Mus musculus: one gene and its partners. The protein of the gene in region 1 purifies or fractionates together with the protein of each later gene. This does not show direct contact. Links are inferred from orthologs where the notes say so. Each region holds a gene or a part of one and is shown on either strand. Other genes may lie near its edges.

Region 1 (3,649 bases):
GCAGCTGTAGCTCCATTTTGAACTGCATTGTTTATTGGATTTGTATAGCTATCCTTCAGGAAGAAAAAAAATGTCCTGCTTAGAAAGTTAACATTGTAAAAGTTTAACCCACGGATCTAGCCGAGTGTCCAGTAGGCCAGCTCAGAGCCGCAGCCAGCCTAACGCAGCAGCTCTAGCCCTCCATGCGTGCCTCGTGGCCGTGTTCCACACTCCCGAGGATGGCAGAGGCAGAGACTCCCAGTTACAACAACCATTACTGCACATTTTTATTAAGAGGGGACACAATTCACTATCTGCTGCCAGGACCTTCTTTATTAAAAATGCTACCTAAAAGTCAGAAATGAGACTGATCTTTTACAGCAGTAACTCCCAATTCTGACAGTGAGCATACCCTGTAAATGAGGGCTCACTCTCTCATTTTACTACCTGACACCTAGCAGTCTGCTTAGAGAAATATAAACCATTTAAACGGACATAATTCAACTACGAGAATTCCCAACAACAAACAGGTGTGGAACTTTTTATAACTGTCAAGTTTCAAAGTGTATCATGGTAAAAAACAAACTTAAACTATACTGTTAATAGCTTGATATACCCTAAATATGGAATATTTAATATATAATTAGAAACTCTTGCTTAGTCTTGAGGACCCAGGAATTCATTTAGTGTTTATTAGGTTCCTTTTTAATTATGTGTACTTAATGCAAAATAATTGACCTGAAGTTTTCAGCTATTTTAACAACTAGTAAGAGGTCACCGTTTGGAGCTTTACCTCGACCTACCTGAAAAGGCTGTTTGTTACTGTAGGTCTTAAGCTCCTGACTCCCCCGACATGCTTCTTTTTAAAATCGATCCTTGCAGAAGCGAGAAATAAATAAGAAAAGCTTGTGACTGTGTAACCTTGCAAACCATGTTTATTTTCAGGGCCTAATGGACCTTATTTTCCCCCCTCGCAGCTGCAAGAATCCATTTCAAATGCTATCAGGTAACGAGGAGCTCTCAGCCTACTGAGGTAAGTGGGTCAGTTCTGAGACTTGGTTTCTGTGGTGCTCAAGCTGACTAGTGTCTTACATTTCAATCTGTTAGAACACGCTGACTCATCTCTCAGTGCATACTGCTCACCTGCTTGGCGTCAGTCTGGATTCAAAGCTGTTGGCCTTCATGGTGATGGTGTCGGTAAAAAGCACATCTTTTGCCGGCGACGCCAAAGCTTCCGAGTGAGACAAGGACGGGTGCATTCTTTGCTGCTGTAACCTTTTCAATGTAGCATAGCCAAAGGCATCTCTAGAGCTTGTGTAGCTGAAGTTGCAATCTGCTAGACTTTTTATTGTTGCAATGGAGGGCGCTTTAAGGGACTGGGCTCTTCTAGGAAGGGTGTGAGAAGAACCTGGTGGCACCAGGGACACTGAGTTCGATTTGGAGAGAGACAGATGGTTAGACTGTGGTGTCAAATAGTGGCTCGTCTTAACAGTTTTAGTACTTACCACGGTACTCAGACTTCCACAGTCCGTGTCCATAGCTGTGGGGTCGACAGCGACTGTCTCTCGGGAGGGGCTCGAGCTCATGGAGCTGATGCCACTCGTCGTAGTGTCCGTGTTAAAGCTCTGGCTGCGGATCTTGATGTGGGAGCTTGCTGAGCCTTCCACAACCAACCTTTCTCGGCTTGTGTTTTCTCTGTGAGTCTCGGTACCAAAACTCTTGGGGAATTTGAGGTCATTCTCTCCAATACTTGGAGTGCTGCCCGCGTCTTCAAGGTGCTTATTCCCAACGAAGGAAGGCTCTAGCTGTAATGATTTCTGTGCTGAGGAGCTTGTGAAGTCTTCGCTGTGATTCAAGTCAACACTGGGCTCCGTAAGTGTTCTGATTCGCCGGTTGCTTGTCTTATTTTCAGATGACAGTTTTCCTCCTTTTGGATCACTGCTACTGCGGTGTTTTTTAGTAGGCAAAGTAAGTGAATTTAAGATACGATTCTTTACAAGTTTGCTGGAGCCAAAAAAGGGAAATGAATTTTTATCTTTTATGGGTCCAGGTCGGTCATAAAATGCTGGCTCAGCATCTTCATTGATGTCAAGGAAAAATGTGCTGGTGGAGGTGCTGCCGAAGCGGTCGTCCTCCAGCATGAACATGCCTGCAAGTCAACAATGGGCTGTCAGTCACCACAGTGCTGAGGGCTACCACACTGTCTAACCAGGCACGGGGACGGGGATTAGTTAATAAAACTGCTTCCCTGAAGCTCAGAGTTAGGATGTGAATGAAAAAAGATCGTATCATGGTGAGGATCTACGAAGAAATCTGCAGTGCTCATCCCAGTGCAGAGTATATGAGGTTCCTATTCCTAGGGATTGTTCCAAATAGTCAAGATAGAGAAAAAGAGCCCTTGAGCACGGACGCTCTTTCTGTTAGACAGAAGCGGCATGGCTTCTTTACATTACAGTGGCAGGAGACACTCACCTTAGAAGAAATGAGTTCCCTAACCCTGAAATATACTTCATCCCTCCACATCCGAGTTAGTCACAGACGGCTTCAACTAACCAGAGACCAAAAATATTCATAGAAAGGTGCTTATATTAAACATGTTCATGTGCCTTTCTTGTTATTATTTCTTAAGCAATTAAGACCAGAACTTAACATTGAGCACTCAGATCGGGCATTATAGAGGATGTAAAGACGATAGAAAGTATGTAGGAGATTTGTATCAGAATCAGTTCTGGTACTGAGGTGGGGGCCTGGGATCTCTCACAGATATTCAAGGATAACTAAACTTACAGAGAATAAAGGCACACTTGCAAGCGTCACACTTAAACCAACTATGTTCACTGTCCATTTTGCCTTATATGCTATTCTTAGTGTCTACCCGTAAGAGATCAGTTAATGTAGGTGTCTGTCCTACATTAATGGTACCTGTAAGATTTATTTTATTTGTAACTGTCCTGTTGAGTAATTATTAAGGACTTTAAATATACTTTGGGGAAAAAAAAGAAAGAAAGTAAAATCCTAAATAAGCTCACACATTACACTGTTTTTCCAAATTTTGCAACTCTAAGATACATCTTTTTATATGGAATTTCTCAGGAATAAATCATGTAACAAAGAGTATGGAGAAGTGTAATGGGCAAGATGTATTTCTTTTTCTTGTTGGAATACGAACATTAGTACATCTTATAATTCAAGTTATCAAAGACTTGGGGTGAAATACGGTTCAAAAAATGTATGATTATCTTTATGTTTTGAGATATGATTTTATACTGCAGTCCATCTGGCCTCAAGTTCACTATGAGCTCCAACTAGTGTTGACAATCTTTGAGCTTCAGGTTTAAGTGCTGGGGCTAAAAAGGTGTACTTGCAGATCCAACCTCTCTCCTTCCTTTCCTTACTTGTGTTGTACCAAACACAAACCTCATCTAGCTGTCCAAGTTGGTCTTGGACTTATCCTGTAGCTTAGAAAGGCCTCGTGATCTTCCAGCATGAGCATCCTGAGGCATGTGCGAACAGGACTAGTTTGTGTTATCTAATTTGTTGCTACTGGTGTTGTTTTAAGACAGGGTTTCTCTGTGTAACAGCCCTAGCTGTCCTGGAACTTGCTTTGTAAACCAGGCTGGCATGTAAAACATGGAGATTCACCTGCCTCTTTCCCCATCCCGCCCCCCAA
Region 2 (3,649 bases), on another chromosome or scaffold:
TCTTTTCCCCCACTCTGGAGCAGCAGTTGTATTTCCTAACTACTCTTTGCCAACTTAGCCTTCCTCTTCTTTGGTTCCAACCCAGCTTGAGGTCAGGGGCCCTGTTTCTTGGCCAGTTAGGGCTGAGCCACTTCTCCCAATTCCCATAGATCTCAAGATATTAGGGCAGGTCTTGATCTCAGCAGCTGTACAGCATCCATCTCACTTGCTCTTCCACCCTCCTTCTGGGCTTTGCGGTTTTTGGCAGGGTCCCTTTTATTGGATTGTATTATGTGTCTATGGGAGTCTTTCCCCCCCAAACTCTCCTTTATCACAAAATATTTTCTTACACCATTTAGATGCCCTGGGCAGAGGGTGCCTGATCCACTTTCTACCCCTAGTTGGGAGGGGCCTCTTGTCACCTAATTGATTTGCTGTGCTGCAGACCTAGGTCCCTCCTTGCTGGCCTTCATGAGGGAATACCCTAACTGCAATGCCGCCACGCCTTTTCCCACAGACAGCAAGGCTATTGTGGATGGAAATCTGAAGCTGATCTTAGGCCTCATCTGGACCCTGATCCTGCACTATTCCATCTCAATGCCCATGTGGGATGAGGAAGAGGATGAGGAGGCCAAGAAGCAAACACCCAAGCAGAGGCTTCTAGGCTGGATTCAGAACAAGCTACCACAGCTTCCCATTACCAACTTCAGTCGAGACTGGCAGAGTGGCCGGGCCCTGGGTGCTCTTGTTGATAGCTGTGCCCCAGGTAAGGGAGATCTTGGGCTAAGACTGTCTGGTCAACCTAGAAGGTAGCTCTATAGCCCCAGACTCACAACAAGTTCTTTTCTGTGTTGTAGGCCTATGTCCTGACTGGGACTCCTGGGATGCTAGTAAGCCTGTGAACAATGCACGGGAAGCCATGCAGCAGGCTGATGACTGGCTAGGCATTCCTCAGGTATGCTCCCGGACTGACCCCTGCAGCTAAGGGGTGCTTGGTTAAAGTGAAGAGAGACCCAATGGCTCTTGTCTTCTGTCTGTAACAGGTGATTACCCCAGAAGAAATTGTGGACCCCAATGTAGATGAGCATTCTGTTATGACCTACCTGTCTCAGTTTCCCAAGGCCAAGCTGAAGCCAGGGGCTCCTCTTCGGCCCAAACTGAACCCGAAGAAAGCCCGAGCCTATGGGCCAGGTGAGGGGGCCTGGTCAGTGGCATTCCAAGGGGCTGAGCACTTATATCCGGTCCATGGGACAGTATTCTCTTTCATTTTGGGTCCTAAGAGGTCTTGAGGAAGATGAATGGATCAAAACCTGGTTAAAAATGGTGCCTTGGCAAGGGAATACTAGTAAGTTCCTTAAGTCATACTGGCTTGTAGGAAGCTTCTTGATTGAAGGAGAAGAACCTCACGTATGAAGGATGACCTCGTGTACTGCTATTCTATAATTGGAGATGAAGCAGTCAGGATTGTGCAGGTGCAAGGGGTTAGGAAAGTACAGCAAACCAGATTTTTCAGAGAACAGGCATGGGCCTGTCTTGGTGGCAATAGCCCATATAGCATGGATCTGAGGCCCGGCTCAATGCTGGGTTTACATTGAACAAATCTACCTGATTGGATTGTACCTAGCTGGGGGAGGGGCACTGAGCCTGCAGAGGGATAGGGTCTCTAATGCTGTGTCCATAACCCTTTAGGGTCTGGGAACCAGGGTATAGAGGTGAGAGGGTAGCCCTACTAGTTGGTTCATGGCTTTCTCATCTTCTGACAGGCATCGAGCCTACAGGCAATATGGTGAAGAAGAGAGCAGAATTCACTGTGGAGACCCGAAGTGCTGGACAGGGAGAAGTGCTTGTATATGTGGAGGACCCAGCTGGACACCAGGAAGAGGTAGGATTATCCATTAGCAGGGCAGGATTCTGTTATGCCCCCTTTTAAAGGGGTTGCTCTTAACACTCTTCCCATTACAGGCAAAAGTGACTGCCAATAATGACAAGAACCGTACTTTCTCTGTCTGGTATGTCCCTGAAGTGACAGGGACTCATAAGGTGAGTCCTTGGCTGAGAAGGAAGCTGGTGGCCATGGGTAGTTGGTGAAGGGCCCCTTACCTCACTCTCACAGCCTGCCCCTTCTGGGAACAGGTGACTGTGCTCTTTGCTGGCCAACATATTGCCAAGAGCCCCTTTGAGGTGTATGTGGACAAGTCACAGGGTGATGCCAGCAAAGTGACTGCCCAGGGCCCTGGTCTGGAGCCCAGTGGCAATATTGCCAACAAGACTACCTACTTTGAGATCTTCACTGCAGGTGAGGGGAGACAGCCCAGGCCCAGCCAGCCATGGGGGAGAGCTGTGCTGGGGTCCTAGAGCTGAGTCTGTGCCTTGGGACAGGAGCTGGCATGGGTGAGGTGGAAGTTGTCATCCAGGACCCTACAGGACAGAAAGGCACAGTGGAACCTCAGCTGGAGGCCAGGGGTGACAGCACCTATCGCTGTAGCTATCAGCCCACCATGGAGGGTGTCCATACAGTACATGTCACCTTCGCCGGTGTTCCCATCCCTCGTAGCCCCTACACTGTCACTGTTGGCCAAGGTAGGCCTGCCCATGAGTGTTCTTCTACTGTGGTACTATGGCCTGGGGCTCTAGGGAGGGAGTTGGCAACTGGGACTGTCCCACTGAAGCCCATGTTTGGGAGCCCCAGTTTCTGAGCTTCCACTGTTTGGGCAAGCACTATCTTTCCTTTCCCATATTGGAGCCCTTTTGCTCTCCTTCCTCTCTTTGCCCCTCTTCGTCTCTTTTCTCCATGCTTTTACCTTCGGAAGAGCTCGCTCCAGCTGTCTAGAAACCTGCTGCTCTCTGCTCTACCTGCAGGGTCAACGGTACTTGGATCTACCTTTCTCTTGGTGGGGAGGACTGGGTAGGGGTATTGGGGTTAGTGTCAAGCAGGTGGGAAAAAGCCTGTCATGTCTTTGCTTTGGGTACAGGTTCTAGACCCATTTAAGTTTTTTCTTGCATGTGCTTCACCAGCTTGTGGTCCTAAACTCTGAGGAACCTTCCAATCCTAATGGCCTGGTTTTCTGGGTAGCAAGGGAGGGGATACCCAGCCCCAGTTCCCCACAACTCAGCTGGCTTATTTGCCCACAGCCTGTAACCCAGCTGCCTGCCGGGCTATTGGTAGAGGCCTTCAGCCCAAGGGTGTTCGAGTGAAGGAAACAGCCGACTTCAAGGTGTACACAAAGGGCGCTGGCAGTGGGGAGCTAAAGGTCACTGTAAAGGGTCCCAGTAAGTTTATCTGGTGGGGTGGTGGGTGATAGACCTCAGGTCATGGTTGGACAAGCAGGCCTAAGTTCTTCCTTGCTTTTGCAGAGGGTGAGGAGCGTGTAAAGCAGAAGGACTTAGGGGATGGTGTGTATGGCTTTGAATATTACCCTACAATCCCTGGCACATACACTGTCACCATCACATGGGGTGGCCAGAACATTGGTCGAAGGTAAGCTCCCTCCACTATTCATCATGTTCTGAGCCCTACCATCTATCTGGTGAGGGGCCAGTGGCTGTTGGGCATAGGGCAGTGGCTCTTGGTGTTTACCTGTGTGGTACTCTTGCCTGCAGTCCGTTTGAGGTGAAGGTAGGCACTGAGTGTGGCAATCAGAAAGTTCGGGCATGGGGTCCTGGCCTGGAA
Region 3 (3,649 bases), on another chromosome or scaffold:
TGCTTAGGGTCCTGCCTAGGGCACAGAGCCTACCAAATGCAAACTCTTATAACTATTGGCACTTTTCTCCCCCACCCATTGCCCCAACCACTGGAATAGTCACACTCCTTCTTCTTACTCCTTTCACATGCTCCTCACTACTTTTCTTCATTAATTACTTGTGACTATGTGAGAATCTAACATCTTCCGTAACCATGTAAGGTCGATTGCCTGACATGGGATGAGCACTTAAATGTTTAACAGATGAAATTGAGGAAGTGGCCTTGGGGAGGAGAGAGCAGTGATCTTTCTCTCTCTTTTCCCACCTTCCTTTCTCTCACTAATTTCCACCCACTGTAATCTCCTGACACCATGGTCCCTATTACATGGGTATTTTATTGTCTTCGATTAATTAGGCAGGTTGAGCCACACCTTGTCTTAATGCCAGAGGAAACTGGAGCCTGGTCTTCTGAGACAGCCCACAGGCCTTGCCAATGCCTGTTCTAGTCCATCCCGAGTGCACTGTGAACACTTGCCCTGGACTCCTTGAGGCTGGTGGGGATCCAGCAAGCACTCACCTCTTACCCCTCCACATGTCTTCTTCCCCCAGGGACAGGAGCTGACCATCCGCCAGATCTCCCTGCTGGGCTTCCGGGACCTGGTCTTGCTGAAGGTGAAGCTGGGTGACGTGCTGCTGTTGGCACAGTCCAAGTTGCCTTCTTCTGTTATACAAATGCTGCTCATTCTGCAGGTGAGCTCCAAGGGGCCCTGTCCCTTGTGGCAGCAATCAGCCGAAGGATCCAGGATCCTGCTGTGATGGAGGTGGGAAGGAGGTGGAATCACAGAGCCCTGTGGCAGAGCCGTGCATTCTTCTGCTTGTTTGTCCATGTTTCTTGGTTCACCGGTTCCTGTACCTTTGCTGTGCACCTGTCAGGACCCTATTGCTCTACTTAGGGCTAGTCTTGGAGTCAGGAAAGAACTAAACACCTGGAGCCTGATTTCCTGGGAGCTGTGGCTTTCTCCATCCCTCGGGTGAGATTTGGGTACCCACATTCCCTCTGCCCTGAACACCGTTGTTTGGGATAGTCAAGACAGATACTAAATTTCTTCTCCTGCTTGTACCTTCAGCGCCCAGCCCAGAGTCTTGAGCACAAAAGTAACCATTTATTGTGGTGCCGGCTAGTGAAGGGTACACATCCTTGTCAGCCCTTAAACTATGCCAAGGAGCCAAGGATTGAAAACGATGACAAAGTATCTGCTGTCATTGAGTCAAGAGAGAACTAGAACTCCTAGATGGGCTTCATGAAAAAGCAAGACCATGTCAGGTCTCCGAGCTCTGGTCACTTCTTGGTCTCTGTTTGGATCATTCTTCCTGATTTTTCTCTGATGCCTTCTCTTGTGGCCTTGCCCGGATGCTCTTAGACTTGGTCTTTTCTCTGTTTGTGGAATTATTTGGACCAGATTAGATGTGACATGCCATGGTGTTTGTTTCCAGGGAGACACTACCCAGATGGCTCCATCCTGTCTTCTCATCCCAGTCTTAAATCAGCAACAGGAAGATGAGCTAACACTTCTCCGGCTCTGGTTGTTTGCCAGGTGCAGGCACAAGGACTATAAATGTTCTGTTTTTCTTAAACAGTCCAAATAAGCCCTTTTATGAGGTCAGCGTTGTTGTTATTCCCATGCTCCAGATGAGGAAACAAAAACAGGACAGGACTCTTATGCAGTTGAGTGAAATTTCTCAGCTGGTAGGAGGTAGTAAGATTCTCAGATGCAGAACTGTGAGCATCCTGATCCCTTCTGTAGGGAGGGATCTATCTGGTTGGCACATGTTGGGCTTGGATCTCCCGTTTGCCCAATCAACTATGACCTTGAATGTGGTCAGATGGAACCAACATGCCCCAGGGAGCTCTTTCCCATGGATGGGTGTACAGTCTCAGGTTCCTCCATCAGGCTCCTGTTGACTAATGAGATATCACCAGCCCCATCTCCCCCCCCCCCCGCCCCCCACTGCTGTGCTTTTGACTCTCTTGGGGCTATCCTCAGCGTATTCCCCTTTCCTGTAATAAGAAAGGAGGCAGGGTCATCTTAGAGATAAGGGTGGGTATCTTTCTAGAGCTAGCCTTTTTGTAGATAGGAGGATGGGCGTGGCAAAGCGCCCGCAGCTTACATCTGAAATGCTGAATTCAGGGCTTAGCTCCCAAATATGGAGCGTGGAAAAGGAGCCCCTGAGGATTCTAGGACTGAGGTTAGGAGGCTGGACTCCACTTTCTGTTTCTGTTTTGACTTATAACGCCATCCAGTATTACTTACTTCCCCTTCAGCTGTGTCAAAATACCTGACAAACACAACTTAGAAGGGGAACTGCTTACTTAAGCTTACAGTCATCGTTGCGGAGAAGGCACAGTAACGGGAAGGTGAGGCAGCTGGCCACGCTGTATCTTGTATCTGTATCAGCAAGTAGAGAGAGATGAATGCTGGTGTTCAGCTGGCTTCCTCTTTCTATGCAGCCTGAGACCACAGCCCAGGCAATGGCTCTGTGCGTGAGGTGGGTGGGTCTTCCCACCCCTATTAACCTAGATATGCTGCCCAAGGGGTGTTTCCATAGTGACAGTCAAGTTTAACTACCATACATCTCTTTCCATGTATGGTCATGGCTGCCTTTTGAGGACCCTCCCCATCTGAAAGTGGAGCATGCAGACCTGTTTCTGTAACAAAAGCCTTTTGAGGTTCTGGGGTTTGTGTGGAACAACCCAACAATACATGACATCACCCCCCTTAAAGTCTCTGAAGGTGTACCAGAATGTCTATCTACTCTGGCCTGTCCCCTTTCCCCACCACGGTGTGTATATGCAGTTCTTTGCAGCTGATCTTAGGGAATCTGCTCAAGTGTGTCCCTGGGCCTAAAGCCCCTTCATCCCTCCATCAGACATTAGAACCTGACTCTCTAATGCTGACCTGTGCTGTGGCCTTCCTGGTCCCTGCAGGGCTAGGGTCTTGGTGCTCATTTTTTTCTCTGCTCTAAACACTGTTGTCCAGAGCAACTCTTAAACTTCTTCCCTATGCTGTGCCCTCAGCACCCTTGGTCATAAAAGTAGGTGCTCATTGAGCATGGCTCAGAAAGTGATGGAACCAGTTAGGAAGAACCCAAGATCCCTGGCCTGAGTCCCATGATGGCTTCTTCCTTTAGAAGTGAGGAATATAGCCTGAGAAGTTCCATGGCTGTGTTGAGGTTCTGGAAAACTGGGCCATGAAACAGTCCCCACTGTGGATCTTCCTGTTCTTCCCACGTCAGGGTACTGGAAGGTCAGAGAGTTAGTTGGCTAACTAACTCAGGAGTATAAACTGAACTGTGTGAGCTGGGTCAGTCAACCAGTCCTAGTCTTTTTTACTCTCTCCACCTCTCAGCCTTCCTTCCTGTCCCACCCCCTCCCCCCCTCCTTTCCAACACTAAACATTCTGCTACCTGAGCTCAGGGAGGGTGGAGCTGGGACAGAGGGGGTAGAGAATCGCCAAGCCTGTTTCTAGCACCACAGTCAAGCTCATCCCAATATAGTCACTCTCTCCACATCTGTCTCTTCCCTTCCCTTTTTAGTCTCAGACTGCAAACCCTGCTTATATTTTGTCAAATTTGCATATAATCTGTAGCCTCTTTTCAGGTTTCTTGTTT

The links.
Region 2: the proteins of Rictor (region 1) and Flna purify together in Homo sapiens (affinity purification with mass spectrometry; 3 studies listed by BioGRID and IntAct, with this or other methods). This does not show direct contact. The link is inferred for Mus musculus from reciprocal best matches to the Homo sapiens genes RICTOR and FLNA.
Region 3: the proteins of Rictor (region 1) and Prr5l purify together in Homo sapiens (affinity purification with western blotting; 3 studies listed by BioGRID and IntAct, with this or other methods). This does not show direct contact. The link is inferred for Mus musculus from reciprocal best matches to the Homo sapiens genes RICTOR and PRR5L.

What each region holds. Positions count from the first base shown.
Region 1 is NC_000081.6:6,784,855-6,788,503, reverse strand, and holds part of Rictor (rapamycin-insensitive companion of mTOR), read right to left. Parts: intron 2,129-3,649; coding exon 1,123-2,128; intron 855-1,122; coding exon of another isoform or gene 783-854; intron 1-782. UniProt on the Homo sapiens protein: Component of the mechanistic target of rapamycin complex 2 (mTORC2), which transduces signals from growth factors to pathways involved in proliferation, cytoskeletal organization, lipogenesis and anabolic output.
Region 2 is NC_000086.7:74,240,013-74,243,661, reverse strand, and holds part of Flna (filamin-A), read left to right. Parts: intron 1-496; coding exon 497-745; intron 746-836; coding exon 837-934; intron 935-1,022; coding exon 1,023-1,170; intron 1,171-1,742; coding exon 1,743-1,861; intron 1,862-1,941; coding exon 1,942-2,019; intron 2,020-2,112; coding exon 2,113-2,275; intron 2,276-2,358; coding exon 2,359-2,559; intron 2,560-2,789; exon of another isoform or gene 2,790-2,846; intron 2,847-3,111; coding exon 3,112-3,249; intron 3,250-3,333; coding exon 3,334-3,457; intron 3,458-3,579; coding exon 3,580-3,649. UniProt on the Homo sapiens protein: Promotes orthogonal branching of actin filaments and links actin filaments to membrane glycoproteins. Anchors various transmembrane proteins to the actin cytoskeleton and serves as a scaffold for a wide range of cytoplasmic signaling proteins.
Region 3 is NC_000068.7:101,731,686-101,735,334, reverse strand, and holds part of Prr5l (proline-rich protein 5-like), read left to right. Parts: intron 1-589; coding exon 590-730; intron 731-3,649. UniProt on the Homo sapiens protein: Associates with the mTORC2 complex that regulates cellular processes including survival and organization of the cytoskeleton.